7 linked regions of the Oryzias latipes genome follow. The protein of the gene in region 5 binds, or shares a complex with, the protein of the main gene of each other region. Links are inferred from orthologs where the notes say so. Each region holds a gene or a part of one and is shown on either strand. Other genes may lie near its edges.

Region 1 (4,416 bases), on a different chromosome or scaffold from region 5:
TGTTGCGATAACGATAAATTTGCGGTATATTGTGCAGGCCTACTTCAGAGGATCCTTGACACGTTTTCTTCTGTTGTCCATAAGTTGAAATATCATAACAGACTGAGAACAAATATCAGCAAAAACACCCAATGGTTTAATTTCATTTCACTTAAATTTAAGTATAAGGTGGAGACATTAAATGCAGACATCAAATAGACAGTGGAATTCATTAGAAGCCTGCTCTGAATGGATTTGATGAATTTTGACCAAATTTAGTAGAATTTTTCCTTTTATATTTTAATATCAATTTTTCCATCTTAAGAATTGCATATAATAATTTGATGACACACGCCTTTCTTGACACACAAGGTCACTGTACATAGCAGTAAAAACAAGAATAAAAATACATTTAGAAAAATAGGATAAAAAAACAATGTGAGAAAGCTGGAGAAAAAAAGAGGACCGGAGAAAACGAGAGGAGGCGTCAACTTGGAGGAGCTCAGAGGTAAACAGGGGCCAGGTTATGGAGGGATTTGAAGGTGAGGAAGAGGAGGAGTCTGAATTGAATTGGACGCCAGTGCAATTGCTGGAGGAAGGGGGGGGGGGGGGGGTGATCAAAGGTTGGAGTTCTGGAGACAATATGGGCAGTGGAATTCTGGACCAGATGCAGTTTATTACGGATTTTGTTCAGGAGACCAAAAAGGAGCAACTCAAGTGTGAATCAAGACAGAAGTGGACAGTGAGAACAAGGCGGAGACGATGAATGTTCATAACAATTATTATTATAAAGCCATCCCCACAACACGATAACGGCCCGCAGCCATTGAGCCGCATCGCCTCCACCGCTCACATGTTTATATTTACTCTGGAGATGAGTTTGGAAATTGTGTCGTAAACCCGCAGGTCAGAAGAAAATGTAGCCGTCAACAGAGTAGAAGTGAACCCAATCTCTGCACCTGGGGGGTATTCCAGAAGTCATGTTTAAACTCCCCTGACTTTAACCCTGAACTCTGGCTGAAATCCACCTGAACTTGCTTACTCTGGGTATGTCGGTTCCAAAAGTCCGGATACGAGTTAGCGTAATTACGTTCCACTTGGTAACCCTGGGTAAATGCACGTGCACGGCATGTACATAAAGACATTCTCAATGGACCGCCGATTTCTGGAGTCACCATGGAAACGCGCACTAGTGGTGCTAAATAAACTCATCCGCCTCTTCCTCCCTCTCACTCATGGTGCAGAAAGAATTAAACATAACAGGACAAAATAACTAGACAAAACACAGTAAAACAGCTAAACTAAACACATTTGGTCAAAAACCCACACTTAAACCCAAATCCGTCCAGACAGGCAAAGGGAATGGTATCCCACAATTCCTTGCGGTGCAGATCTAACAGCAGCACCAAAGTTACACCTACTTCATTGAATCAATTTGAATGAAAGTAAAATAAATGTCTGATAACTACGTGTTATTTTTAAGCTGACTGAACTCCAAAAAAGATTCATCTTAACTTAAGCAAATAATTAAGTTAGATGAAAGTATAAAGTTTCTCTTTCCAACATCCATATGTGGTCTTATCATCCTCTCATGGTGGAAAAAGTATTATCTGAGCTTCTTCATCCACTAAATCATCTTCAAATGGACACGCCATGCTGCTTCACATCTCTGAAAAACAAACTAACCTTCAACTAAACCTGCTCCTGACCAGGTTATGTTCAGAGCATGAGTTGCTATGGCAACTTGACCTACCCTGAAACATACCTCCATTTCTGGAACAGAAAGCTGAGGTTATCCACTTCCTTAGCCTCAAACTTACCGTGGGAGCTAGCATAACCTGCTTTCTGGAATACCCCCCTGGTGGTTTCAAATCATCTGAAACGATGCCTTGAAAATGTACATAACGGGTCTGCTTTTCATAATTACCCGGGACAGGACCCTCCGACCCTCTCGATTGACGCCTGGCCTCCTTCTCTAAAAGACGATCACTGACTTGATCTGCACTGATTTTCACCCTTATGAGAATGTTATTTTCGATTTCTATCATTTTAATCAGGACAAAAAGGATTCATATTTTAATAAAAATATTAATTTTTTGCTAAATTCTATATTCAGCTAAGTCCCCAACAGCAAACCCGAAGTGATACTTAGAAATAAAATGTAAACATGACATAAATTCTTCACATCTGTTAGCATCAATAAGCTCTATCATATTCAGTTATTCTATTATTTTCTTCTCTAGGAATCCATCATTTTATGTTAACATGTGTACGTTTGACTCCCTTTGTTTGCATTTGTCTACGAAATGAATAAAGTTAATTAAAAACAAATAAAGTTAAATGAAAAACAAAAACACAATATTCCTTGTTAGCCGGCTGAACTTCTCTGTTTCTTTCAGATGCTCCTCCCCTATTTGGAGATTTTGGTACGGTCGCCTTTTTAAACGATGAAGCATTTTAGTCGACAGTAGTTTTAATCTTCTATCCTTGGTAATTTGATGTTTTATACCTGTCCTATCGTAAATGCCAGCCTATTCTTACGTCTTTTCTTTGTTTTGCGTTTCTTGAGGCAAACGGACATTCAGTCTGTACTAATGACGTCATCTACTAAACACTGAACATTTCTTCCCTCCATCACCCTTTTTGCAGGCGAAGCTGCACAACAGTTAGAACCTCCAACCAATTTCTGCAGTGGAACCGGTTCCGATCCACGCGGGGGAATCTGTGGCTGATTGAAAGCGCGTGCGGCGGAGGAATAAATTAGATGCTGTGAGCGCGTGCTAGTCCTTAACTGTTTTTGCTGCTACAGCTTCGTTACTTTTTTCGTAAACTCACCTTAATCCGACAAAGCTGCCTCCACGCGCTAAATGATCCGGATATATGTGCTGTAACCGCTTCCGGGTCAACCTACTACTTCCGGTTCACCGGAAAAACCTGGATACGCGCGTCTTGTGTCTCAACAACAGGTCGTGGAGCTCCGCGAGCGCGCGTTTTACCCACTCGTTCAAGGTAAGCTCACTGGTAAAAGCGCGTGACGAACCTAATTTGTTGCTAACCAGAAGTAAAACTGCAGATCACGTGGTGTTTGTTTATTTGCTGAATGGATGTCCAGAAAGGAGGTCAAACGTCCGGAGCTCATCTCCAGGTCTTGGGTTCCTTGCAGACGGAGCAGAGCTCGTGGCTTTCCTCCGAATCAGAGATTCTGTACAGCTGGCTGTCATGACAGAAACAGGTGGTTGTCAACCAAAACCTTACACAAACTGATCCGTGTGACCCAGAGCATCCTCATTCTTTTAAGACCCTTTGACTGAACTGGAACCAGTGGAGCATCAAACTAGAACCTTTCACGTTTCGTGGTTAGGTGTGTCAGATAATCAGCAAAGTACGTCCACTTTGCTCCCTAGGGGGCGCTGTTTTGGCTGCTGGATTCAGACCTGAGGTTCAGTGGAGAAATGGTATGGTTCTTATTGCTGGGTGTAGTCACAGGGCGTCTTCAATTCCAGAATAGCCCAAACCCACAGAACCAGAGATGAGCTTAAGTTCTAGTGTCCCATAATTTATGTAAAAGAAACAGAGCTTGTTCTTTAAAATGATATTTTGGAGTAGCTTGTGACTTTGAGGTCAAACACTGTAGACTTCTGACCCCCTCTTTGTGGGAGTCTGAAGATCTGATCCAACCAGAGGTTCCTGAGTAAACCCCCACAGAGACCAGGGGGGTATTCCAGAAGTCATGTTTAAACTCCCCTGACTTTAACCCTGAACTCTGGCTGAAATCCACCTGAACTTGCTTACTCTGGGTATGTCGGTTCCAACAGACCGGATATGAGTTAGCATAATTACGCTCCACTTGGTAACCCTGGGTTAATGCACGTGCACAGCAGGTACATAAAAACATTCTCAATGGATCGCCGATTTCTGGAGTCACCATGGAAACGTGTGGAGAAAAAAAGAGAGAGAGCTGTACTTCAGTAAGACGGATTCGGACATTTAAATGACGGCGTATGAAGATTATACGTCCATCAATAAAGTAACACGGCTGCATCATCAGCAAAAGAGAGTTTCTGCTTGGAGAAAAGAACAGACAAAGTAAACGCACGAGTTTCTGATCTTATTTCTATTTTCCTTGTGACGCATATATATACAGGGCTCCAGACTAACTTTTTTCACTGGGAGCACTGTGGCCCCCAACTGAAAATTTTAGGGGCACAACCAGAAAATTTAGGGGCGCATACCGTAAATCAACATTCTAACCCAATCTACTAATTTCCACTGTATTACTAATAAATACTTTAATAATAGATGCAGAAATTACAATGTGCTGTTTCAAATTCAGTGTCACATTTTATTCTGCACTTTTGAAGATGCAACAAGAAGGTAAACTGACAGCACCATCACTGTCATGACAGTACAAATAAGTAAAGAAAACGGAGGGAAATT
Region 2 (4,429 bases), on a different chromosome or scaffold from region 5:
ACAGGTCATACCAAAAAGAAACCAGTTTTTTTAATAAAACACCAAATCCCAGAAGAGAAATCTTTCCAGAATATTACCAACCCGTTTATCTATGAGAGTGGAAACATGTCAAGAACTGTGTTTTTAAAAGAAACATCTTGACAAAAGGAGGTTGCATGTGAACCGCTGAAGCTGTCAGTACCTCTCCTCTGCATCCTGACATCTTCTCACTGCCGTCTGCTTGGTCTGGTTGATTCCTTCATCCAGTCTTCTCAGAAAATCCAGAGGTTTCAGGTCTGAAGGTCTTTTCCCATCATCGTCTGTCCTCTCAGAGAAGTTTGTCCCGTTCTGAACCACGACATCGTGAGAACTTTGTTCTTCACAGTCCTCAGACAAATGAATCCCTTTCAGGTCTGACAGAACAGGGATCGACAGAGACTTCTTCAGGAAAATAGAGTCGTTGGTGTAAAGCCTATTTGCTCTCTTGATTTGTTCCATCTGGAAGACAGAAGAATGTTGTTGTTTTTTTTTTAAACTAACAAATGTCAGAATCAAAAAAAATTATGTCATAACATAAAACCAATGAATAGATTTTACTTTTAGTGTGGAAACAAAAGATGTTCCTTGTTAATATTTCAAATTGTTTTAATTGTCTAAAGTAGGGAGTACAAATCTGGTTTATTATACTTACAGAGACTCCATACTTCAGGGCCAGACCTTGGAGCGTGTCTCCGGACTGAACCGTGTGTTCAACGTGTCTCTGGCGGACCGGAGACGCCGGCGACGATCGCATCAAGCTGCCGTACGACATAGCTCGGCTTCCGCGAAGAAGACCGCCTCTCCCGGATGGCAAAGCCGCTCGTTGTCCGGACATATCCGATAATTATTTATGTGAAAATCATCAGTAACACGTACGCAATTTTAATGTTGGAACTGGTTTGACGTCGTCCTAAACTAGCAAGCCCAGTTCACCTGCTAGCTGCTAAAGTATCGACTAATTCATCTTCTTCTTGCCAAAGTGCCGAAATGGCACTGCCTGAACCTTATCAACAGTCGGGAATTGAAGAAAAACTACTTAAAACACCTTAAACATAGCTTAACTGTCAGTAAACAATCTAAAAACATATCTAAAAACTTTAAATATGTTGTTTTTTTCAGTCAGCTGCAGTCTGTTGCCATGGCTGCCGCTGTGAATGACGGCTCTCATTGGGTGGGTTGTGTTCAAAGTAATTTGAATACTGAAATTTAAATGAAAACATAACATTTTTATTTTTTTTATTTTAATCAGAGTTTGTTTAGTATGAATTAAAATTTCATTGATTAAAATAGGCAGTTTTTTTCCCCTTCGCGATTTATTTACAAAAAATATGTGATGTTATAAACATTTCACATCGATGCTTTCTTAAGAGTACATGCAAACAAATCAATTTAAATGTAAAATAATATTTTAACAATGGTTTGTTAGACTAGTTAACTTGACCATAAATAAATGAAATGGTACGATGGGAAACTGCAACGTGGTTAGCTGGAAATCGTGGACAAAAAAAGTGTACATGTTTGTCCCTGAATGCAGCACTACCAACACTTCCGGGATAGTGTGACGTATAGAGAAGCTAGCCCAATGAGTTAACTCATTGAGCTAGCCGTTAATCTGGTGTTTATACCATTGATTTACTTCGATATAATTATGTCATTCAAAAGGGAAGGAAATGATGGGAGCCAACTTAATATTTTAAAGGTATTTAAAATGATATAATACATTGTATTCATAAAAGAATAGGCTTTCTTAAAGTTCATACGCTGTCGTTTTTTATTTGTTTTGCTAGCTTAGCTAGTAGCAAGTTTCATATGGATATAATGTACACAGAGTAAATGAAAACTGTTTGGTAAAGTATTTAATGTAAATTTTTCATCTGCTATGAAATACTTACTGATGATTTGGGCTGTTGGTTTACAGAAACGGCGTGTATCTGACCTTTTGTCCAATTTTATTCCGGAAGATGAAGCTGCTCTTCTGAGTAATGGCAGGTGAATATAACTAAACCCTAAGTGTCAGTTTTGTTGTGAAAGTAACTCACCTTTCTGCGTTCGCTCCACACAGGTACACGTGCCTTGTGTGTTCGTATCGCCCAGTGTTTGACACAGTTGACATGTTGACAGTCCACAGGCAAGGGAAGAAGCATTTAGAAGGTAAATATCCTCCTTAAAAAGTGACTCTTAGTGTGGAAAATTTTTAAATTCCCCAGTATAAAAGTGTCTTGGTGGTCATATTTAGATGTAGACAAAACACTGTAGGCTCATTTCTCTCAGATAGTGTTTGCACATTTGGCCCCAAACAGATCTTCTGTGTTGTTGATGTAACAGGTGTGTCATATTAAGGCACTAATGACAGGAGGTGTGAGCATCATTCGCCTGACGTTCGTTGTTTTCCGACATTAATGCTACATAACAGAGTATTGGTAGAAAATGGATGTAAATGTCACTCCAGAATGGGTGTGACATGTAAATATGTCATATATGTTTTCTTATTTTTTAAATAAAGTTTTATTATGCATGTGCTTTTGGTGCATGCTTTTATATCCGTTGTGTTTTTTTGTTTTGTGTTTTAGGTTTAAAATCCTTTTATGGGAAAAAGTCAAAGTTCAAGAATGAAATTGCAAAAAGAAAACATGAAGATTATGTCAGAGCAGAAGACAAAGAGGTTTGGAGCTTCAACTTGATCATTTTACCTGCGGGTAATTTTGTATTTTGACCGACCGACCGACCGACCGACCGACCGACCGACGTACCGACCGACCGACCGACCGACGTACCGACCGACCGACGTACCGACCGACCGACCGACCGACCGACCGACCGACCGACCATCACACGAAACAATGACATGATGACCGACCGACCGACCATCACACGAAACAATGACATGATGACCGACCGACCGACCATCACACGAAACAATGACATGATGACCGACCGACCGACCATCACACGAAACAATGACATGATGACCGTGTGATGACCGACCGACCGACCGACCGACCGACCGTTTTTACAGAGACGACTAAATACTTAGTGTTATTGTGGTTAAATTTTTATTGTTGCTGAATTATAGTACTTTATTGACTTGTTTTGGAATGACAGTTGTAGAAAGGATGCACCTCCTGTACTCCTGTAAAGATATTATGTCGCTGCTTGTAACATGTTAAATATGGATATAAGAATAAGTCGTATTCTTGTGTGACATCCAGTACGTGCTTGTGGCTGCCACGTGACTCAGACAACCTGTAGACTCTGCAGCGTGAGTTGAAGCGGGTGTCTGCTGGTGGAAAACATGAGCAGAGCCGGCCAGAGGACACATGGAGCATTTAGCTGAGTTGGAGTCTGTCAGAGCTCAGTCTGAGAGACAAGTCTCTTTTGTTGTGATTGCAGGAGCCCTCCAGTTCGGCACCTTTACTGGCACAGACCCGGAAACTTACCCATCATGCTCTTCTGAAGACTGTTCCATACAACAGCTGCCACAGAAAAACCAGGTTGGTCATCATTTAAGGTTAAAATACTCATCTGTAGTTTAAAATGGAAGTAAAGATGTGAACATATATCTGTTTATTTATTTATTTTCAGTACAAAGTTGAATAAAGGACAGTCGAGCACTGCTGGAAACACATTTCAACACAATTTCCCATCTGCATGTTGGAAACCAGAAGTTTCTGACAATGCATCCACAAGTGATTCTAGTGATTGTTTCACAGGTAAAATCTGCTCCTAGAAATCATATTTTGATATTTTATTTAAAATAACTGATGGTTCTGTTTCAACTGATGCTTTTATTTTTATTTTTGTAGAGTCTTGTTCATCCAAAGACAGAATTCAGTGTCAGTCTGAGTCGAGACAAACGGCAGAACTCATAACGCCGCAGAGGCGAAGAGAGATGGAGCACTACCTCAAACTGAAAAGGTGCAAAACTCTCTTTTCCTTTTTGTCACCAGTGCTAGATTGAATCTGCAGGCCACAGAAACTATGTTTTAGAAACTCTTAGCTTAACAGTCCAAGCAGTAAACTGATAAAATGAGTGAAGTCCTCTGCCTCAGGCTCCACACCCAGCTCCTCTCCAGCATCTTCACATGCGGCCCGTTGAAATTATTCTGCTTCCTTGATTTGTTCTCTCACTCATTTATTTGTGTTTGCACCATTTCTGTACATTGTGATTTATAGGGTAACAAATATATGGGATGTACACAAGACTTGACATTTTAAAACATCTGCGTCCAATCCTGACATAAACAAATGGCACGCCTATCAACAAATAAAGTAATAAATCCACCAAATCTTAACAAAGTTCTTCAATAAACGTATGGAAGGTTGAGATAATAAATTCATAATTGTGAAAGTTTATCAAAATATGTCAAACTGGCTCCTACAGAGTTGATTTTGGTTTTCTCAGTTTTTATCT
Region 3 (4,526 bases), on a different chromosome or scaffold from region 5:
TATCTGCAGGTTTTAATGCTGCATATTAAACTGTTATCTGACAAAAGGAACTACCTATGGATATTTTAAAGTGGAAAATATTTAAAAGAGGAATTTACACATAGATATAACCATGAGCTTCAACACAACAATAAAGTACAACACAAAAAGCCAAGAAGGAACCACCGCTTTGATTAAAACAGCCTTTGATTTATCTGTTGGCTTGATTTTATATTTTTTTGGCTGGCATAACTTGCTATGTCATATAATTTTAAAATAAAAGCTAAACAGAGACTTACTAAATCTGGATGTGGTAGTTTCTTGGAGAAAATCCTCATGGAGCCTTGAAAGACTTTTGTAAGAATTGCTGTGTGAAAACAAAGAGCAGACCAGTTAAATTGAAGGACATTGCATGCAGACAACCAGCACTGGCTCTAAAATAGACTCCTTACATTGGAATAAAAGAGAAAATTACACATCAAATAAATGAATTCAGAAATTCAACAGATTTACTATAAACTAGGAGTGAATTTCTGACTCACATGGCTTCTTCTTTGTGCCTCCAAGAGCGCCATGCATGGCGTTTAGGAACCATGTCATGAAGTCCACAGCATCACCTGCAAACCAGAAAACATTGAGCAAACTCTACAAACTTATCCAGTGAGTTAAAGATTGTGGGGCAAAAAAGTATTTGGCAGCCACTGACTCTGCAAGTTGTCCCGCTCAAAAAGCTGAGTTTGGTCTGTAATGTTTACCATAGATATACTTCAACTGAGAGATAAAATGTCCAATAAATTATCCAGGAAATCACATTGTCAGATTTTTAGAGAATGTATTTGTATAATAGTGCAGAAAATAAGAATTTGGTCAACAACAAAAGTTCACCTCAATAGTTTGTAATGTAACCATGATTATCTATGACAAAGGTCAAACATAGGTCTTAAGCAGGTTTACAAACACTATAGCTATTATTCTGGACCATTCTTCCATGCAGAGCTGTAATGTTTTGAGGCTTTTGCTGAGAAACATACTTTAAACTCCCTCCACAGATTCTCTTTGATGCCAGAGTTATGTTTTTGGGATCAGTCATGTTGGAAGATCCAGCCATGTTTCATCTTTAGTGCTCTCATTGATGGAATGAGGTTTTTGCCCAAAATCTCAGCCTACATGGCCCTATTTATGTCAGCACTCCACAGGCCACAAAATAGTTACCTTGTTTGGTGATTTGGAAGTTTTTCTTGCTGCACAGGACTACAGCCTGCAGCATCTCGTGGGGCGACACGTGGGCCTTGAAGTTTCTCGGATTCCAAAGTTTGCGCATCAGCTCCCCAAACCGCTGCACCAGCAGAAACATGATGTCCCCTGGTGGCCTCCGGATGTCTCTGTAGTTCTCCTCCTCAAGGAAGTAGTTTCGCAAAGGTGGGACGTTGGAAAAAGCCTAAAAACAAAAGTACAATATGAAACCCCCTGTTATTTAAGTTGATGCCACAGCCTCAAAAATCAACATCAGCGGGGTTTCATACCTGTAGTACAGCATTGGCATAGTCGTTGGCTTTAATGTTATTAAGCCCTACAATCCCTGGCAGGTAGGTTGTACCATCGTAGGCTCTGTACAGTTTACCATGTTTGTCCAGACCCTCAATGTGCTGCTTGGTGAAAGTCGGCTTCAGCACATACTAAAGAAAAAAAGAGCAAGATTACCAACACAAAGCAAGAGCTTACAAAAAATAAAAAAAGGAGGGGTAAAAATTACTTAACATAAAACATTAAAAATTTAAAAAAGAAATGTAAAAAAAAAAGACGTATTAAAATTACAGCCAAAACTCTAAAAAGTATACTTTAAGACATTGCTAAATAACTTATTTTTAGATACTAGTACTGATACTTATGTGCAAAATATAGTAAATAAAATATACTATGCAATCAAATACATTGGCCTTGTATAAAATATATAAATATCGAACACATTTTTATGTACTCTGGGTTCACAAGTTAAAACTATTTTTAAACACAGAATATGTTAATGAAAACTATTGAAGTGTTACACTGACAAACAAGGAATGTGAGCAAAAGAATCTATCAATCATATCTAGAAGAAAAACAAAAAACTTTGTTTAATTTTAACATGTAACTGTTTACTTTTCCCCCCAGAGCAATTACCTTTTCATTTATACATTGAAAAACAGCAGATTTACTGCATTACTTACTGTGATGTCTTCTAGCGATGAGTCAATGATCTCATAGTTGTCTGGCAGACAGTAAAACTTGAGTGTGTGCAAGTTGAGGAACACATGGTGAGAAAACTGGACACTGTGAGTGTAGGCATGAGACTTCTGACCTCTGCCTGCAACAAGGAATGCAAACGTAAAGATGTTTAGTGTCATCTAAAAAGGAAAATAACAATGTGCGTTTGATGTGCTAATATGTCTACCTTGAAAGTATTTCCCACAAATAAGACAGGCATAAACATTAATGTGAGACAGAGAAATGGAGCAGAGCTTCTCAAAGTCAAAATCCAGAACACTCCTGCAAGACGAGAAGAAACTGAATTACAAGAAGAATGCTAACTAGCTTTAGCATACATTTTCAAACATTTCCTTGCCTGTTTATGGTGTCCAGGTAAGGACAATGGCGGCTTCTTCGGTCTTCAACCACACGTCCTCGCCTAAATTTGACTGTCACTGCAAAAGAGAGCAAATCACGATAAAGCTCAGTAGACGTAAACGGAATTCATTTTTACGAGAACAACTAACTACTAGCAATCAAAACATGCTTGCTAGCAAGCTAAGATTTTTCTATTAATCGATCTCTGTTTTAAAATAAACAGGTTTTACATATATTTTTATATGCTGATTGTCTTTGTCTTACATGTGAAACCATCAGTTTATTGGTGTAGAATGGAACTGACACAATATAAACTTTTTATGCTAGAAAATGCTCTTCTGGCTGGCTAACAAAACGAAAAACGGACGTAAGAGACAAATCAGCATACCTTCGTCTTCGTTATCCTCGTCGTCTTCTATTTCCTCCCTTTCACGCTTTAAAGACATTCTTGTAACTATAAGTTAGCAAACGGTTTGCTAACGAAACAAAAATTAACAAAACTTGAAGGTTTACGAGAGGAAATGAATGGATATTATTCAGCTCCTCGAAACTCGCGGTGGTTGTACGTCGGTGGTAATGGCGTGGGAAACCAAAACGTAACCCGGAGTTTAAAAAATAAATGTTTACCCCCATGTAAACTCTAAGTAATATATTTTATTTATTTGTATACTTCAGTTTCTTTTTTTGTCACAGAAATATAACCAAAATAGTTTATATTTTAGTTCAATGTGCATTGTAGGACTTACACGCAATAAATTAATTTGTAGAAACTCCGGGAACGCTACGGTTGGACATCCATTTATACATCGTTAGCTGTCTAGCTTTTTGTTAGTATTTTGCTTGTTCTTCTTTAGCTGTGTTTTCTTTCTAGAGTGTTTGCTGAAATGGATCTTATAAGAGATGAAGGAGTGCATGAGCTGAAGTACAAACCGGGGGGCCGTCTGGACATGAGCCACGGTTTCCTTCATCATATTCGGAGGAACCAGATTGCCAGGTGATTTCCTTTTTGCTGTTAGCCGAGTTAGCATACTTACTTGGGATGTCAAATGTCAATCTGTAGCTGCTGTCATTTCATGATTGATGTGAAATGATTTTTTTAAAAATGGCAGACAGTGAAATAACATTTTTTTAAAGTACCTAAAAGGCTTAAAGTCAAGTTTATTTTTACTTTAAAGCAGTAGAAGCAAAACCCTATTGGACTGACTGAAATTTTAAAAGGAGCATTAAGTTATTCGGTTTATGTTTTATTAGTGTAATTTATTATTTAAAAGTGGATTATTATATAAACTTAGGTTTGGTGTGTAAAACTTTTAAAGTTCCTCCTTGATAAATTACATACGCTGAGTTGGGCTGTTTTACAGCATCTGCTCTCTGTCTGGTCTTAAAAAAAGCTGCTACAATAATGTATGATAAGTATTTTGATTTACGTCCAAACAAAAAAGTTTGTTTTAATTCCCACACTCTCACTCTTTATTTAATCATTTAAAACGGATTTTTAACATGTTGATTTTATTTAGGCAACTTTGAAAGATGAACTATAAAGCTAAAAGAACAGCAATAATAATGTTGCTTTGTTGTGCGGCTCTTTAAATTGCTTTGATGTATGAAAAACAAAGCTGTTTTGCCTTAAAATAATAAAATTTTAAAAAAAGTATTATCCTCCAATGTGTAAACAGACCTAGGAACATTTTTAAGTTCATGGCCATGACCAAGATGCTCTGTGTTTTATTCAACTGTGCAACTTGCTATGTTTTTAAGAAATAATCAGAAAATATTTCAATTTCTTTATAAGAGATGACTATGATAAAGAAGTGAAGCAAGCCAAAGAGCTTCAGCGGCACAGGCGCACCACAACCCCCAAAAAGCCTCGGCGACCTGACATCCAGGTGTACCATCCTCGACGGAGACGTAAGACTGACATATTTCTTACTTTGCTGCTTTTA
Region 4 (3,027 bases), on a different chromosome or scaffold from region 5:
GACAGTGCAGATATGTCAGTCGATATCGTGAAGCTAATTGCAGCAGAGGGATCACTACCGCTTTGAGGCAACATTTTTATTCCAACTTCACACACTTCTTTTTTAAAAAAGATTTATTTTGAAAAGCCAATTATTGTAGGATAATGCTTTTATATTTTCCCTGATGGCAAAATATATTTTTTGGAGAGGTTTAAAGTGTTTAGATTTTTCCTTAAAGGTACAATAGTTTATGGAGAAAGTAGAATCCATTTCTGTCATTTTGATGATTTTTTTAAAAAACTGAATTCATTCATTGTCCTTAGGGGGTCGTGGTCCAGTGGTCTCCCCAAGCGAAATGAAGCAAAGACGGGTGCCGACACCACCGCAGCCGGACCCTTGTTCCAGCAGCGGCCGTATCCTAGCCCTGGAGCCGTGCTCCGGGCCAACGCGGCCAACCAGCAACCCAAGGAGTGAGCAGGATCCCCGTCAGGACAGCAGCTCGTGCAGACGTGCTTTGGTTTCCGTTTTTGTGGTGACGGGTCTCGCTTTAGACGTGTTCTGAGTGTCCCAAGCATCCTCACGTCAAAACTTGTAAATATGTTTTTACACCTGCAGATGAGTTTGTTTCCTCTAGAATTAATGAACATAATAAATTTGACAAAAGAATCTGGGTTTTTCTCTGTTTATTGATTTTTATTGCACCTGTACAAATACACATCTGAGGTTTTTTTTATTTAAAAAAGCTTTAAATGCATGTCAGAACACAAGTTTCACAATGATACAGGATGAAACGAGGAGAGAAGAAACTCTTACTGGTCTTCTGCTCCCACATAGTGACAAATGAAGTCATAATCCAGCGTGAACAGCTTTTCCTCGTATCGGTTGAGCTGCACTGTGGCCTTGCACTTGTTTTTGTCTCTCTGAAGAATCCGGCCGACCTGAATGAAGGCGTACAGCGATTAGTGACAGTCCATCGCAGGCAAGCGGGACTGTGTGCTGCAGGGAAAACCCAAAACCTGTGCTCACCTGCCCCCTGTGCTCACCCAGGACAACCATCACAGAGTCGCCATCGCTTTTGGGGATGATGGTTTCCAGCATGTCCTGCTTCACATCTGCCACATGGAGGACAAACGCGTTCATGACCAGAGAGATTTGCAGCCATGGTTGCCATGGCAGCAACCAAGACAAAAATGATCACCTAGTCACCAAGCATCATCAGACCCTTTGTATTTCTTGATTCAAATTGTGAATCAGGAAAAAGATCAAATTTAATCCGTAGAAAAAACACTGTAAACAAAGAGCTCTCAGCAGCAGGAGGGGGGTGGGGTAGCTCCATCCCAATGGTCCCGTCCACAACTCGGGTGAATATCTAATGGACTACTGTCGCTCTACACAAACTATGTCCAAGAAAACGACACTGATTTTTACGTTTGGGCTAACAACGACATAATCCTAATTATAAAACCACTGGGAACGCTTTGAAAATAGATCAAAAGATGATCGGAGTGGGATTTTAAACCTGTTGCAAGTTGGAACCACATAATCTACATTTTCATCACCTAAACATTTAGAAGTACTGTAACATTTAAAAGTGTAAAAGAAAAGTAAAAGAATTTCTAAACAAAATCAACTTAAATCCGTGTTTTGACGCTAAAGAGGTCCATAAAGTTTGTCAGCTCAGCATTTATCCTTGATCATCTAGGAGAGCGCAGGTCAGAGGTCAAACAGTAAATACATTTTCACTGAAGAGAAAGCTTCTTTTCATAAAACTTACACCTACAATGTGAGCATGTTTGGAGAATATTCCAGGGAAAACCTGAAACTCCTCCTATCTTCTCCTGAATCTGACCTTTTTTCTCAGAAAAGCTTTTCAGGAAAGTGAGTTCATGTGTTATCGGAGCTTCTTCTGCGAGCAAACCTGTTCAGTAAAAAGATGTAGGCCGACATGGACAGAGCCTAGAAGACTCACCATCTAACAGTCTGCCCTCCTCCGTTCGACACACGCAGGTGAATGGCGTCAGGACATCCTCTACTTGCATCTACAGGAAAGTGAGATTGACAGGAGTCAGACTTTTTTTTCTTTGTTTACAGACAAATGTGCAAAAGTTGAGATGACAACACAAACAGCCATCACTGGCTCTGATCTTTAAAGGGAGGATTTTTGAAAGTAAAACAGATTTATCTAGCAGGTTTTCGGAAACTTTTTTCCTATTCTGAAGGTACAACAGTAACAGATGATTTTCTGCTAACATTGATACACATAGAGGCTTTTAATTTGATAGTACCAGCTGACTTGACAGACAGACACTGTGATTTTAGTACCTTGGAGTTGTAAAACCTTCCCCCTTTAAAAGCTTTGTCTATAAAGCGAACTTTGAGGTCCCTCTGGAGCCAGGAGGGGGGCGCCGCTGCTTGTCTGGCTTCTTTCACAGGAGGCTTATCTCTACATTGGAAACAGGGAGACTCATCCTCTGGTTTATGTCCTAAAGCAGTAGAACTTTGTGGTTCTAGTTCATGGACCTGTACCTGTCCTGGTTGGACTCCTTGTGTTTCCTCTTCCTTTCTTCCTTTGGTTCGTCTTTTTCTGAAGCTCTGCTTTTCTCCTTGTTGCTCCTCCTCTCCTTCTCTTCCTGCCTCTGCCGTTCCTTCTCCTTTTCTCTTTCTTTCTCCTTTTCCTTCTCCTTGTGTGCTTTACTGAGGCGACCTGTTGCAAGGAAGCAAATAAAAGAAAGAACACATTGTCTGATCCTTTTGTGCTTTATTCTGCCCACATGAATAAAGGAAAAGTCTTGGAACAATAGTTCTGCGTTTGACCATTTATTTAGGCGATTAGGAGAAAAATCCATGCAGCTGAGAAAGGACACTCACTGATGTCTTTGCTGTATTTGTCGTATTCTTTTCGTCCGACCAGTCTCACGCCGTGTTGGCTGAGTGTCACAGTCTTGCCCCCGACGGCGAGCTTCACAACCACTCGAGCGTTGTCTGCATCGACGCCTTCAATCTGCCGCGTCAGGGAAAGTCAGAGCGGTTGGTGTAAAGGAAAAACAT
Region 5 (4,336 bases):
TTCGGACTTCCTGCTGAGAAATTCCATGTTTAATATATTTTATATAGTTTTTCACATTTTAAGAGACATGATTCATAATAAAGGTGCTCAATAGTTCTAAAGATACTAAAGCTAATGTCAGCAAACTTTCTGTACTGACTAATCATGACCCTATTGTCCCCCCCGTTCCGTTTTCGTACACAGATCAATTTTGACACAAGTTTCTCACAAGGAATGTGTCAGAAGTCAGAGCGCAGTTGTTGTGCACTTGTGATGTGCGCCAGCAGATTCACATTTGAGCAGTTGTAATCCCAGATTGGAGGTTGTAACTCTAAATGGGAATTTGTCAGTTCTGATTTAGTTTGTCAGACTTTACAGCAGAAGATTTTTACACACAGATGCAGATTTTTGGTGTGCAAGTTCTCACATTGTAAATTACAAGTTCTCACACCAAATCTACAAGCTCGTCTATTTAGACACATTTTTACCTTCATACTAATAACTCACTGGCATTTGAAATCTTGGGGTGCTCAGGTGGATTTGCTCACATACGTAATCTATTCTTTTAAAAACCAAAAAGATCAGAAAATTACAATGCAAGAACTATTGAAATAAAACATCTTGCAATCTCCCTTCTTCATTGCTTAAGCTTTGTAAGAAAATTTGATTTTATTACACAAGTGACTACATATAGAAATCTTGCTGTTGACATCTAACCCTTAAAACAGGTTTAGTATTTAAGAAGTGGCTTTTTATTCAACTCATACTTGATAAAAAAACAAAACAATGCTTCAGAGAATGAAATCATTCAAACCCCACACCCACATCAGGCACAGTACCCAATGTGGAGGAGATGCTATGGACGCCTTTTTAATCTCTTACATTTGTGAGCTTATATTTAGTGTTTTACTTGTATTTGAATTCTTCTGAATGTATTTTATTCTTGATTCTATTAAAGGAATATGTCAAAGAGAGGAGGGAATAATTGAAACATTTTAGAATAAAACCACTGTAAGGCGCCATGTTATTTCAAATCCTGGAAAGAAGAAGAAAAAAAGACTGCAAAAATATGCTTTAGTGAAGCAACACTTTCTAAATCAAGATGCAAGCTCTTCGTGTTTGTTTCCTCTTCATATAAAAGTCCTAAATACACACTTAAACCTCTCTCCGCTACACCAGCAGCCCCCCAATACCTGTCGAATGCTTTGACTCTTCCAAGCAGCTTCTTGTTGTTGCGACAGTTAATGAGGACTTGGGTGTTGTTCTTGACTGACTGGGTGAGCACCGACAGAGGGCCAGTGTTGAACTCCTCCTCTTCTCTTTTCTGGAGCTCTTCAGGCGTCATCTCTGACTTAGGTTTCGTTAGAAGACTCCTGTGGATTAAACAAGTTCTGAATTAGTGATAACAGCAAACAAAATAAGCAACGATGTACTGTTTAAGCATCGACTGCTTGGGCGGCCTATTATTTGGATTTGGGCCTTTTTATTATTATTCTTTTAAATTAAAAAATAAATATAAAGACACAAACGCAACACTTTCGTATTTAATGCACACACAAGCATTAGTTACTGTTAATGCGAATCCAAGAGTTGGCTTCATCTGTGTGCCTCAACAAAATGATCATTTTCTTATAAAGTCAAGTTAGCACAAAAATGTACAATATAGGCAAGACATCTGAAAAGTGGAACCAGCTAAAAAAAGTCTCAGTTCCTGCAAAAGAGCATTTATGAGAGCTGAAGCTGTTGACTGAAAGTGCTCAGTTAATAGAGACATTTGAGAGGCAGAAGGTGCTTAAGCAGGAAAATGGACCACAACCAAATATCTAAATAAAACTAAACATGCAAAACTAGTATTAACCAGAAAACCATTGTACAGGAGACATTACATCAGACGGAATCAAAACTATTGAGGAATTATCTCACACACACAATAAATGCTTTGGTCATTGATAAATTGAATCAGTACATTTTAGTCTCGATATTTCTTTATATTTGTACAATGATCACTACAAATAGGCAGAAGTAAAACCTACTTTAAAAAAAATGGCTGCTCTGGATGATAGAGAAACAATTTACCTAAATAAAGGTCAACAAATACTAGACTTTATAAAAGGATCAAGTTTTAAAACATTAAAGCCTCCCGCCACCCTTAAATGAGCACAGAACATTTATTGTTTCCAGATACATTTGAAGTTTTCAACAATCTCTGAACAGTGTGTGCTTTGAGATCAGCAAAGAGTTTAGGCTCTTTACGCACAAAATATTTAGAACAAAACTTTGGCTTTCACACAAAATGAGTCTATAACCGACGACTTTGATCATATCATCTTGCAGAAGCTTAAACATTTCTACTTTCTAAAGAATGAATGCTGCAATCGCACAACGAGGACATTTACTCATGATGGATAGAGCAAGCTAACAGTCTCATTAGCAATTAGCTAATGAGGCTTAGTACGTCCATCAAGCTTTCGCGCGATGTACAATCACAGAATTTAGCTTTGGACGTAACTTTTTAAACAATTTAATTTGAGAATGCAGTAATTGCAATGTAATCCAATTTAACACATTTCTAAAAACCACCCACTAGGCCACACAAAGCGATCTAGCACCAACTCGAAGGAAAATGCTGCTAGCTTAATAGTGCGATCTCCATATTAGCAGCTAAACGTAAAAAGTAACATTGCCCTCAACATCGAGACACAATAGAAGATACTAACATGATTCCTGGTTTATAAAAACCGTTTAGTAAAGTTCCAAAGCCTCTTTCGTGCGTCGGTCGTGTCTACAACGTTTTAGCCGACAGTCGCGTGCACAGAATCACTTCCGGTGATATTAACGCGCTTAAATAGAATAACTTCCGGGTTACGACGCAAACCAAAAATTCGAAAAATATTCTATTCTTTTTGGCAACAATAGAAAAAAAATCAAACAACGGTCATCAGCTAAAATATTCTATTCTAATCTTGCATCCATCTCTAGTAATTTCGTTACTGAAGCCGAAGTTAAAACTGTTATGAATGCCCCAGCATTCATGCAGCAATTTAACAAACGACATTATAGAACATGTTTAAATAAATACACGAAAAAGATTAATTAAATACAATTTGATACATTTAAATTCAGCATTGCTTTTATCCAGTTATTTTGCATTTGCAGGATATCAAAGTCCAGGTTGACAGTATCAAGAAATAATATAAAATAAAAGAGACGTTGCTTAGTCTGTGACCTTTGCCTGGTAAACAACAACAACATTATTAACAACAACAACAATTAAAATATTGGAAATAACAACAACAACAATAATAGTAATAATATTAATAACAACAAAAACAATAATAATAATAATAACCTTTCCTTTTTTTCATATGTGCCACGTTCCAAATCACAGATTGCCTTATCTATTATTGTAGGTGCTAAACAAATGATGCAGCATTGTTCATTTGTATTTTTAGCAGTATTTTTAAACTCATTTATTTGAAAAATATAATTCAATATCAAGAAACTATAAACATGGCCTTTTGTAACTGCATTTTGCAAATCAAACAATACAAAAAAACTTTAATAGTAAAAGTTTTAGGCTCCAGGTTTATTGCTGTCATGTCTTGCATACATGGGCAGCCGTGGTAGGGTGGTCACCCTCTGATCGTTAGATTGCAGGTTCGATACCCGCCCTACCGTTGAAGTGTCCTTGGGAAAGACGCTGAACTGAACACCACCTTGCTTCTGGTGGAAGGTTGGTGCCAGTGTTCAGCAACCAGGAAACCAGTATGTGAATCTGTGTATGAATAGGTGACTGATTTTGGCCTTCAAGGAAGGTAGAAAGCGCAGTACAATTATACGCCATTTACCATTTATAATACAATTATAAAAAGTTATAAGATGCATTATAGTGTCATTTAGAAACTCTCACAACTGAGTTCTATGAGATCTACAGCAGGTGTATTTATCTAATGTTAGTCTAATATAAGTTTTGTTTTGAAGAGATGTCTTAAAGAGTCTGAGCCGTTGACAAAAATGTTGTAGCACTTCTTTCAGATGGTAAAATCCACAATTCCTTTTTGGCCAACATCCAAAGGAGATCTTGTGACTTATGAAATAAGGAAACCAATTCCAAACACAAACAATCCCTTTGGGCTTTTTTTCAAGTTTGTTGAGTAAACCGTTAAAACTACAAATAGTTGTAGGACCACAACTCAAGTTTTTTAGTAGACTTTTTCTAACAACTAAAATGTTGATTAAAGGATTCTGATAACATATTAATCTATTTATTGCTTATCTTTTCCCCTCATTGCATAATGTCAATAAAAGAGTAAAAAATAAAAAATAATAAAAACTGAAAGCTTCTTCATAGGACAGA
Region 6 (4,411 bases), on a different chromosome or scaffold from region 5:
CGTCACCTGAATAACAGCAGAGAGTTCTGACCTGCAGACAACTTGACCTCAACTTTCACCGTCGCTGATATCAGCTGAAGAAGGATATGGACCTGAATCTAATGTCTGCAGTCATAACATCGAAGAGAACTATAAACTCTGTTTTGAACCCAGAAGTACGGCTGTTATCAGTTAAAGAAGAAAGACCAACCTTGGACAATCGACAGTTATGGACCCTTTTTACTTTCCCCCTACAGCATTACTTTATTATAAAAAAAATAATAATAAAAATACAAAAAAAATATTTAAAAAAGTAAAACAAATGATTAATGACTTATTGAAAATTGTTAAATTGATTGCCTTTTAATGATTTTATTTCACTTTCTCCAAAAATTGATAAATTGATTCAAAAATCTTTCCTAATGTAGCATAATTTTGCACATGTTTTTAACTTTTGATACTTGATGAAATTTTGCTATGAAAATTCCTGAAACAGTGTTGTGTCTACTTTACTGATATAGTATTATGTTTTATTCATATGAATGGCTTTTATAAGTAACATAATCTGCATATATTTCAGATGACTGATCTGCATTTGCCATGTTGATTTCTAAAATAGTTATTTTTGACGTAATACTTAAGTAATTCATCTTTGTCATGTGCTTTATCGATATCTTATGATTTTTAATTCTGTATGATATAAACTGGGAACCGGATATTGATAAATCATGTAATAAAATGGTTACAGTATAACGGGGTGGGATTATATAAATTCGCTTCCTTCCACTCCCTTTCAAGCAATATTTATTAATATGTATAATTATCCTAAGTTTGATTAGTTACTGTATGAATGTATAACTGATGATTATATTGCTGTTGTGTATTATTTCTACTTAATTGCTTGAAATAAACCATTTCAAATAAAAAAATAAATAAAATTGTTCTGGTTCTCTGTTGTCATCTATTGTTTGTATGTTTGTACCTTGAGCCTAACGCCGACGCTGCATCAACCCAATTTCCCAAGCTGGGATCAATAAAGTATATTTATCTTAAGATCATTTTGTAAGTGATATTCTTGATTCAAATGGAGAAATTCTTCAGTTAAGAGACTTCAAAGGTAAATATGATATTGAATGCTCAACCGAGGAATTTCAGAAAACCTGCTGAGCAATTCCAATTGCTTCAATACATTTAATAAAAAATACAATATTGTCTTCCTATGTTCAAATTAAACTACCAAATTTAGTAATAGGAGAAATAAAATTTAGTGAAAAAAAACGTGATAATAAATTGCTAAACAAATCCTTTAGAGGTAAATTATACCATGACTTTAACAGAAAAGTGAAATATAAAATAACTGAGACACCTGTCACATCAGATGCTCAACTATGGAAATTCATAAAATGGCCAGTGGTTCCCAAAATTAAAGAAATGCAGTTCAAAATTATAAACAATTATTACCCATCGGCAGAGACATTGAGAAGTAGATTTGGCTTTGAGGTTGATCCGTGTGATTTCTGTCAGGTAACCCCAGAAACAACCCAACACCTGTTTTTTTCATGTCCAGACCAGTGAAAGATTCTGGCAAGATTTTCATAATTGGCTTAGTCAAAAAATTAACAACATACAATTCACAGAAAAACATATTTTGTTTTAAAACAGTAAGTTGCCAAAAGAGCCAACAAATAGTGAACATCCTCCTGATTTTGGGAAAATATATTCATAAGCAAAAGTGGAAAAAAGATCGGCCGAATTTCCTGTGTTTTAAAAATGAAGTCAGATTGTATTTATCCTCATTGAAATGTATTCACAACTCAAATTCTTTCATTGATGACATTTGTAAATCTGCTACAGAATGGTTACAAATCTAGGGTCCAGATTGTTGATTGCCTTGTATTTTAATTTATGCTGATAGTTTTTTTTATATATGTATACATTCTTGTTTTTTTTTTATCTTTGTTTTTCGTGAAGAGCTGTGCCTTGCATCATTGTGTTGTTGTGTCTGCCAGAGTTTTGTAATGAGTATATTTCAATAAAAAAAAAAATTAAAGCAAATTTTATGTCTCTAGTCTAACCTTGATTTATCAGCAAGACGGTAATAAAATATCTTAGAACAATAAACAAGATTTACTTGATACGAGTCAGATACTTATACTACTTTTGACACAAACGTGTTAAGGATTATTTGATTTACAGAAACCTCAGATCAAAACTCTTTTGGAGCAACCGGGTATCCCTTACGTTAAGTGTTTATTCCGTAACCGTCAAAAATGAAAACCGGAAGCTAGATTTTCATCAGCGAAAGTACAACAAAAAAATAATGTTGTGAATTGTTTTATATTTAGACAGTTTTACGTCATGAATCGTAGTAAAACCTTCAGACATTTACCTGCTAGCTCGTCTCCCCTGTGGACTGCGTGATCTGTGTGGCCTGCTAGTGCTACTCGGGCTCAGTTTCTCCTGCTTTATCTTCACTTCGGGCTGCCGTTCTGGAGACTCCCTTCTTCTGTCTCGCTTTTCTTTAGTCATTTTAGTTTATTTTTCCAATAAATTTGAGCTCAATTCAACCAAAACACGACACAGTAGCTAGACAAAGACAAGCCAAGATAAAAAATAAAACCTTTGATGCGTTACCAAACTTCTGGCGTTGTGAAAACAAACTTCCGTTTCCGGTGACTCAAATTAATCCCCTCGACGTGCTCCATGTGCTCCCTATTGTTGGTTCCGCCATGGCCTAATTCGTTTTAAATGGGGAAAACGTGATGTTCAAGTTTTTTTTGTCATAGACTGAAGCATTGATGACACATATACGTGTCGTATTACATAAAAAGTATTCTTAAATGAAACTTTGTTCAAATCAATATTATTTTATTTTGAAAAAGTGTCGCCATGACAACACAAACAGTGAAACGGTATTTCTAACAAAACGTGTAACTTGCTCTCTCACCTCAAAACGATGACTTCTTTTGGCGAGTCCCTCTTGAAATACGATAATCCGATATTGGTAAAAACAAAAGGAGATAAAAAATCTCAAAAGGTAAGTCTTGATGGTTAATGATCTATTTAACTGGCGCCCAGAAACTATATCAATTAAGGCTAGAAATCTCATTGTACTTCCATAATTTCTTTATTGTGGACAATGAAAGGCTACCAAATAAAATCTTCAAAAATAATAAAAGAAATTACAAAAAAATAATAATACAAATAAATGTACAATTTTCCCCCCTTTTTTTTCGTTAATAGGGACGTACTCTAACGTTGAGCAACCTTCCAGCTCCCAGCTTTGCAGCAGGTGTTCCATCTCCCCCTACACAGAATTTGGATGAAAACATTTTGCATGCCATCTTACCACCTAGGTAAAAGAAAACCTCAAAAGCTCACCTAAGCACAACGATTCAGATTTATTTATTCTAGATTCATTATTATTTATTCTTCTTCCTAAGTTATGCAGACAAACATAGACTGTGGCATGCACCAGAGCACAATGACCATCCTCAACTTTTATTTCTCAAAAGTCAAATCTGGGAAATCAAATAAAATCAGGCTTTTTTTTTGTAAAACAGATGCTTTTCATGCCATGTAACTCAAAAAACTTTAAACAACACAGTGGAACAGCTACAGTTGGAACAAATGTAGTTTTTATGTGATCCAAAGATCACCAACAAATCCTAATGTCTAACAAGGAAAAGAGGAAAGGTCCTGTAGCTCAGTGAATGTCCAACTTTCATCAACTTAAAAAGATCAAGTCTTGACAGCAAATATTGCCCACAGGTGCATTATCACACATACGTCTGCTTTTTACTTAATTCAAAAATAAAAAGCTGACACACAATCTAAGATCCCGAAAGCATCCAAAAGTTACTGTCAAATGATTTTCCAAGTAAATTCTGATTTCTTACCATTACAGAGAATGGACAGAGGGGGACCAACAGTGGGTGCAGAAAGTATCTACAGCCATTACCACGAGGAAAGATGTCATTCATCTGCAGGAGCAGCTGAACATAAAGCTAAAGCAGAAAAAGGCCAAACCAACTGGCATCTGCCCCATCCGCTGGGTTCTGTTTTCCCAGTGTTTCGGTAAGACAGCGGAGGGTCGGGACAAAGCTCATCTCCGAGTAAAAATGTGGATAGTTATGAAATATAAATGTATTATGCATCTTATTTCCTTTTTGAGATGAACTCATCAGACAGGTAACCATTGAATGTGCGGAGAGAGGTCTGCTGTTGTGCCGGGTCAGAAATGAGATGCAGATGATGATAAGAGCCTACCAAAACTTGTCTGAGAGCAGCATTGCTTTTGGGATGAGGAAATCACTGCACGGTGAGCAGGGCAAGGAAGAAACACAGAAAAAAGTAAGTTTTTTTCCCGTGTTAGTCATAAAAAAAACCTGAAAAACTCCCATTAAGTTTATGAAAAAAATGATTTATCTTA
Region 7 (4,407 bases), on a different chromosome or scaffold from region 5:
TTGAACAAATAGGATTTTCCTCTGGAGTCGGGCAGGACCATCGTGACAGGAGTGCTTTTGATGCCAACTCCTCTCTGTAGGAAAAAAGTTCCAGACGGAGGGGAGACATGAAACGAAATATAAACCAAATCATTTAACTTTCTTCTGCTGTGCATATATTTCCATTTCATAACTCACCTCTTGCTCTGTAAAGAGGATGTCTGTGTACCGGAGCTTAAAACATAGAAAATCACGTTAACCTCAAACCATTCAAGTCGCAATTCAGTAGAATCATTTTCACATTTTTTTGTAAAATAAAGGAAAAACGTACATCTACATCATCCCTCTTCCGGATTTCTGGGTGTGTCTGCTCAATCAGACAATCTACAAAACAAGTCTAAAAGGAAGAAATGGGTTTGTTAGATTTCTCTGAGGCAAACACAAAATGTAAACTCACAGAGTTTAAAGTCAGAAGCCTCTGTGAGGCAGCGCGGTCTAACCTTGCCATGATGAAGGTGACCACAGAGTGTGACATTTCGGATCAGCTCGGGACCATCCATTAGATCTGCAAGAAATCTGCAAAAATGGGGAGGAAAGAGAAAATATCTTTAAGTACAACAAATATAAACTATCATGAAGACAAAAAAGAGAGAAAAAATATGCAACGTCTTTAACTTAGCAGGAACATTAGGAATCCATTGAGATTCTTCAGAAGAAACTCACTCCATGTCGTAAACTGTTGCAGGCAGCTCCTGTTCCATCAGAGCAAAACGCCTGTGCTTCACCGGCTTGATGATGGGCTCTAGAAAGAACAAAAAGACAAAAATGTTCTTGTGTTAAAGAGTTGCAATAAAATGCAGAGCTCCTGTTTTCCAGCTATGAAGAAGTAGTTTCAGACTTGATCAGAATCAGATGTTGCATACCAATCAGGGATCGGATATTTAACCATTATTTTGATTAGCACTATATATTTTAAGCTTATTATTTCAACTAAATGCTCTTCTAGAAGTCTGCATATCACGAAAGGATCACAACGTTTTGTTGCCGTGAAACACAGCAAAATACAACAAAGGTTTGAGTAGGAGGTGCACAAAGACAGTTCGTTAAGTTAGCAAAATATTCACAGATTTGGAGTTTGAGCTCAATGACTTTTAATAAACGTTTAAAACTGAGAGCTAATGTCTCTATTGGTTCACAGAACCATGACAAACAACTACCTGCAAGGGCGTTTAAAAATATTGGGGATTTTTTAAATGTGCCCTTTAATGAGAATTCAACGGAGAGACGACTGCTAAGGGAGCGTCTCCAAAGTGCAAGCTGCAGGAGAAGGTGATCAACAAAACAACAAAAACTCCATAATCTGTCAAAAACAACCAAAACGAAATGACTGTTACGTGGGTATGGATCATGAATACACATCATTATTTTAATGCTGAAATAATGATTTTGGAAGAAAGCCGTTCCTCATTTTTAGGATATTTTAATGGATATGAATCGCATCAGATCAAAAATGTTCATCTGCTCGGAAGCAGATGCTGAATCTACGGTCCCCAAACTTAATCATTTAACCAATTATTACCTATTTTTAATAATAAACAGTTAACTATTTTTTAACTTATTATTTAGTTATTTTTTTCTAGTTGATATTTGCATTTTTTTGCTTGATTGTTCAAGCTACTTCACAAAACTGCTCTATTCAAGTGTTACTACAAAAAAATTGGGGGCAACCGGGATTTGTTTATTATTATTATTTTATTTTTTATGTTATACAAAACTATTTGATCAGCAGATTCTCAAAATAAAAAGACTCAGAATCAGAACAGGGTCAAACAAATAACCTTATCTGAACATCCCTAGGAAAAATGTCAGCTATAAAGAAATATTAGGAGTTGATGATTTGACACAATTTGTGAATAGAGCCCAAAGTTTTTTATTACTATCCCTGAGCTGAAAGTCAAAGGTTCACTTTACCTGTTAAGGGTTGTGTGTCTTCCTCTTGGACAATAGTTTCCACCTCTGGCCCATAAACCTCTTCTGCAGTCGGATAATACTTCTTATCCTCATGGAGGACCACCTCCATGCCTGGGGTATCATCCTCAGCATCTGCAGGCTCATCTTCATCATCATCATCACGCTGTAGAAGCAGATGCACAAATGAATGCTCAGGAAACCTATACATTTCACAAAACTAAGAGGGAAAGCCAAAGAAACCTCATCTAGATCTCTGTCCTCTGCCTCCACGTCATCTTCATCATCATCAGAATCCAGCTCTGGACCGATGTAGTTCCCAAACTCGTCATACAGATCAGCCTCCATCTTCAAATATCTAAACAATTACAAAGAAACACTAAAACATGTATGTAACAACAACAAAATGGGTTAAAAGTTTTGAAAGCAATAGGAAACCCTAATTTGTCAGACTAGTTAGTACGTAGCAGTGATCGTAGCGTTTTAAAGCTTGAAAACTCTCAATGGGTAATTAAAAAAATAGAACGTATCTTTTTAAAGGTTTAACATCTCCAACTGTATTTCAAATATTTGCAAAATACGTTTATTTTTTATTTTCACTTAAAAATAAAAAAATAAAAACATTATGAACCGGTTGTGGCCACAACAGCTAATGCTAATAAGACCGCAATTTGAACATTTAAGCGACTCCTGCATTTAGATTATGAAAAAAGTCAATCAATTGATGAAAAGTTTCGGATTTTATCGTCTTTGCGAAAGTTTATTGAGCTTTCTCGATCCACGCAACAAAAAACAAGTAACCAAACTAGCTAGCTAGCGTACAAATGAATGGATCAACGTCTGAGATACGTCACACCGTAGACAAAGACATAATTTGCTGAGACCACACATAAAGCTGACTGCACTTACCTTTATTTAAGGATAAAACTACTGCAAAATATTTATACAGCACAAAATAAAACCCTGTTCTGAAATTAGGATAAATTATTGTTCGGTTAGCGCCATGCGCATGACAAACTACTGCCGCTTTTCTTCTTCTACTAACACGTCACAACACTTGAGGATCGCGTACGCCCCCTAGCGTATGGATGTTTTCAAGCGCCAAACCAACAGATCCAATCAATCAAACCTACTCCTTTTGTAACTTTACTAGTGTTATAATATGCCGCTGATAATGCAGAAATCTGAGAATGTAAAACGCAAACATGCTTTGAAAATGTAGATGTTGCACTTGCAGCCACTGTGTGCAACAAGGAACTTGTGTTTGGTTGAATATTTTTTAACACTCCTTGGTAATGAATTCTTGAGTGCTGAGCCTTTTATTAGCCCTTTAATCTTTGCCAGATTTGAAATAATTTAAAATATAAATTCCTTGGAGTTATTATTGATGGCAAACTAAGCTGGAAAGCACGTGTTAGATATGTAACTCATGTGACATATTTGTAACTTATTTTAGCATATTTTTATTACTGGATTGAAGTATGAAAAACAGGAATTCAAATTATTTACAAAGCTAGCTTGATCACAAATACAATGTATTAGGCCTTTAGGCTATAGTCAAAAGAACTCAAACTTTGTGATTTGGCAGAATACACTGCAGCTCAAATATGTCCAATGTTCAAAGCAGAAAAAGAATTAATAACAAAAATGATACAAAATATTGCAAACAGGTCAAAAATTACACATTATTCATATACCATTGGCTGCATGTGTGACGGGTAAATCACCCCTCCAGCAGTCTACTGAGTCTAGGTCTCATGCTCAGGTCTCGCGGAAGGCAGATCGTGTGAGGGGGCCGGATGCGTCTCTGGAGAAGCGATTGTCCCTTCTTGCAGATCTCCCTATGCGGGGAGATTCAATGAACTGCGGATTTGCATGTTCTTTGCGTGGTTTATTCATACTTCTTCCATGGTTTTAACGTGGTTCCTTCGTGATACATCTGTGAAAGTCTTCTGCAGAGACTACAACTTTTAGTGGCAAAGACCACAACTTGTCTTACTTTTTCCACGTATATTCACACATGACATATAAAAACTGGTCTTATGTGAATAAACATGGAAAAAGTAAGAGAAGATGTGATTCTTTGTGAGAAAATTTCACAGCTCTATCATGATTTTCACCTTTGGACAATGTGCAAATTGTACTTAGCGGCAGTGGGACACAACCTTAAGCCAAACAACATTCAATTGCTACTACGATTGTCTCTTATCTGACACTTTGGTCACTTCCAGAAAATATTTCGCAAAGTCCTTCTTTATAATCATTCTTCCTCCATTCCTCTTTCCATCCACGAAGGAAGAAAAAAAGCTCAAACCTGCTTCCAGTCTTTAAGCTGTGGTCTCTTTCTATCTTTGTCTTCAACATACAGGATGTCCACCTTGCTTCTTTCATGTCAATCAACTCCCTACTTTTCCATATAAAATTCCCAATGTTCAACTTCCCTACTAAGTCCTTGATCCT

The links.
Region 1: snrpd2 (region 5) and prpf4 share a complex: the UniProt entries of both Homo sapiens proteins name them as parts of the U4/U6-U5 tri-snRNP complex. The link is inferred for Oryzias latipes from reciprocal best matches to the Homo sapiens genes SNRPD2 and PRPF4.
Region 2: snrpd2 (region 5) and scnm1 share a complex: the UniProt entries of both Homo sapiens proteins name them as parts of the minor spliceosome. The link is inferred for Oryzias latipes from reciprocal best matches to the Homo sapiens genes SNRPD2 and SCNM1.
Region 3: snrpd2 (region 5) and usp39 share a complex: the UniProt entries of both Homo sapiens proteins name them as parts of the U4/U6-U5 tri-snRNP complex. The link is inferred for Oryzias latipes from reciprocal best matches to the Homo sapiens genes SNRPD2 and USP39.
Region 4: snrpd2 (region 5) and gpkow share a complex: the UniProt entries of both Homo sapiens proteins name them as parts of the minor spliceosome. The link is inferred for Oryzias latipes from reciprocal best matches to the Homo sapiens genes SNRPD2 and GPKOW.
Region 6: snrpd2 (region 5) and snip1 share a complex: the UniProt entries of both Homo sapiens proteins name them as parts of the minor spliceosome. The link is inferred for Oryzias latipes from reciprocal best matches to the Homo sapiens genes SNRPD2 and SNIP1.
Region 7: snrpd2 (region 5) and eftud2 share a complex: the UniProt entries of both Homo sapiens proteins name them as parts of the minor spliceosome. The link is inferred for Oryzias latipes from reciprocal best matches to the Homo sapiens genes SNRPD2 and EFTUD2.

Annotation. Positions count from the first base shown.
Region 1 is NC_019870.2:3,886-8,301, reverse strand, and holds the start of prpf4 (U4/U6 small nuclear ribonucleoprotein Prp4), read right to left. Parts: upstream 2,908-4,416; 5' UTR 2,815-2,907; intron 1-2,814. UniProt on the Homo sapiens protein: Plays a role in pre-mRNA splicing as component of the U4/U6-U5 tri-snRNP complex that is involved in spliceosome assembly, and as component of the precatalytic spliceosome (spliceosome B complex).
Region 2 is NC_019874.2:27,122,007-27,126,435, reverse strand, and holds the start of scnm1 (sodium channel modifier 1), read left to right. Parts: upstream 1-1,574; 5' UTR 1,575-1,666; coding exon 1,667-1,717; intron 1,718-1,936; coding exon 1,937-2,007; intron 2,008-2,080; coding exon 2,081-2,169; intron 2,170-2,588; coding exon 2,589-2,680; intron 2,681-3,408; coding exon 3,409-3,509; intron 3,510-3,600; coding exon 3,601-3,728; intron 3,729-3,821; coding exon 3,822-3,933; intron 3,934-4,429. Other genes in the region: lysmd1 (lysM and putative peptidoglycan-binding domain-containing protein 1), read right to left, coding at 182-477, 671-853. UniProt on the Homo sapiens protein: As a component of the minor spliceosome, involved in the splicing of U12-type introns in pre-mRNAs. Plays a role in the regulation of primary cilia length and Hedgehog signaling.
Region 3 is NC_019867.2:12,332,844-12,337,369, reverse strand, and holds the start of usp39 (U4/U6.U5 tri-snRNP-associated protein 2), read right to left. Parts: upstream 3,145-4,526; 5' UTR 3,030-3,144; coding exon 2,972-3,029; intron 2,661-2,971; coding exon 2,582-2,660; intron 2,506-2,581; coding exon 2,411-2,505; intron 2,324-2,410; coding exon 2,187-2,323; intron 1,656-2,186; coding exon 1,503-1,655; intron 1,418-1,502; coding exon 1,192-1,417; intron 597-1,191; coding exon 522-596; intron 347-521; coding exon 279-346; intron 1-278. Other genes in the region: c9h2orf68 (UPF0561 protein C2orf68 homolog), read left to right, coding at 3,468-3,577, 4,376-4,491.
Region 4 is NC_019865.2:21,314,687-21,317,713, reverse strand, and holds the end of gpkow (G-patch domain and KOW motifs-containing protein), read right to left. Parts: intron 2,981-3,027; coding exon 2,848-2,980; intron 2,684-2,847; coding exon 2,506-2,683; intron 2,423-2,505; coding exon 2,302-2,422; intron 2,019-2,301; coding exon 1,949-2,018; intron 1,092-1,948; coding exon 1,006-1,091; intron 918-1,005; coding exon 789-917; 3' UTR 695-788; downstream 1-694. Other genes in the region: pqbp1 (polyglutamine-binding protein 1), read left to right, coding at 303-453. UniProt on the Homo sapiens protein: RNA-binding protein involved in pre-mRNA splicing. As a component of the minor spliceosome, involved in the splicing of U12-type introns in pre-mRNAs.
Region 5 is NC_019871.2:25,537,824-25,542,159, forward strand, and holds the start of snrpd2 (small nuclear ribonucleoprotein Sm D2), read right to left. Parts: upstream 2,828-4,336; 5' UTR 2,699-2,827; coding exon 2,697-2,698; intron 1,353-2,696; coding exon 1,173-1,352; intron 1-1,172. UniProt on the Homo sapiens protein: Plays a role in pre-mRNA splicing as a core component of the spliceosomal U1, U2, U4 and U5 small nuclear ribonucleoproteins (snRNPs), the building blocks of the spliceosome.
Region 6 is NC_019874.2:23,603,902-23,608,312, forward strand, and holds the start of snip1 (smad nuclear-interacting protein 1), read right to left. Parts: upstream 2,813-4,411; 5' UTR 2,685-2,812; coding exon of another isoform or gene 2,614-2,684; 5' UTR 2,509-2,613; coding exon 2,369-2,508; intron 1-2,368. Other genes in the region: dnali1 (axonemal dynein light intermediate polypeptide 1), read left to right, coding at 2,936-3,016, 3,223-3,335, 3,887-4,056, 4,154-4,332. UniProt on the Homo sapiens protein: Required for pre-mRNA splicing as component of the spliceosome. As a component of the minor spliceosome, involved in the splicing of U12-type introns in pre-mRNAs. Down-regulates NF-kappa-B signaling by competing with RELA for CREBBP/EP300 binding.
Region 7 is NC_019866.2:5,489,044-5,493,450, forward strand, and holds the start of eftud2 (116 kDa U5 small nuclear ribonucleoprotein component), read right to left. Parts: upstream 3,011-4,407; 5' UTR 2,857-3,010; intron 2,327-2,856; exon of another isoform or gene 2,306-2,326; 5' UTR 2,296-2,305; coding exon 2,191-2,295; intron 2,114-2,190; coding exon 1,951-2,113; intron 782-1,950; coding exon 703-781; intron 556-702; coding exon 480-555; intron 377-479; coding exon 311-376; intron 214-310; coding exon 178-213; intron 75-177; coding exon 1-74. UniProt on the Homo sapiens protein: Required for pre-mRNA splicing as component of the spliceosome, including pre-catalytic, catalytic and post-catalytic spliceosomal complexes. Component of the U5 snRNP and the U4/U6-U5 tri-snRNP complex, a building block of the spliceosome.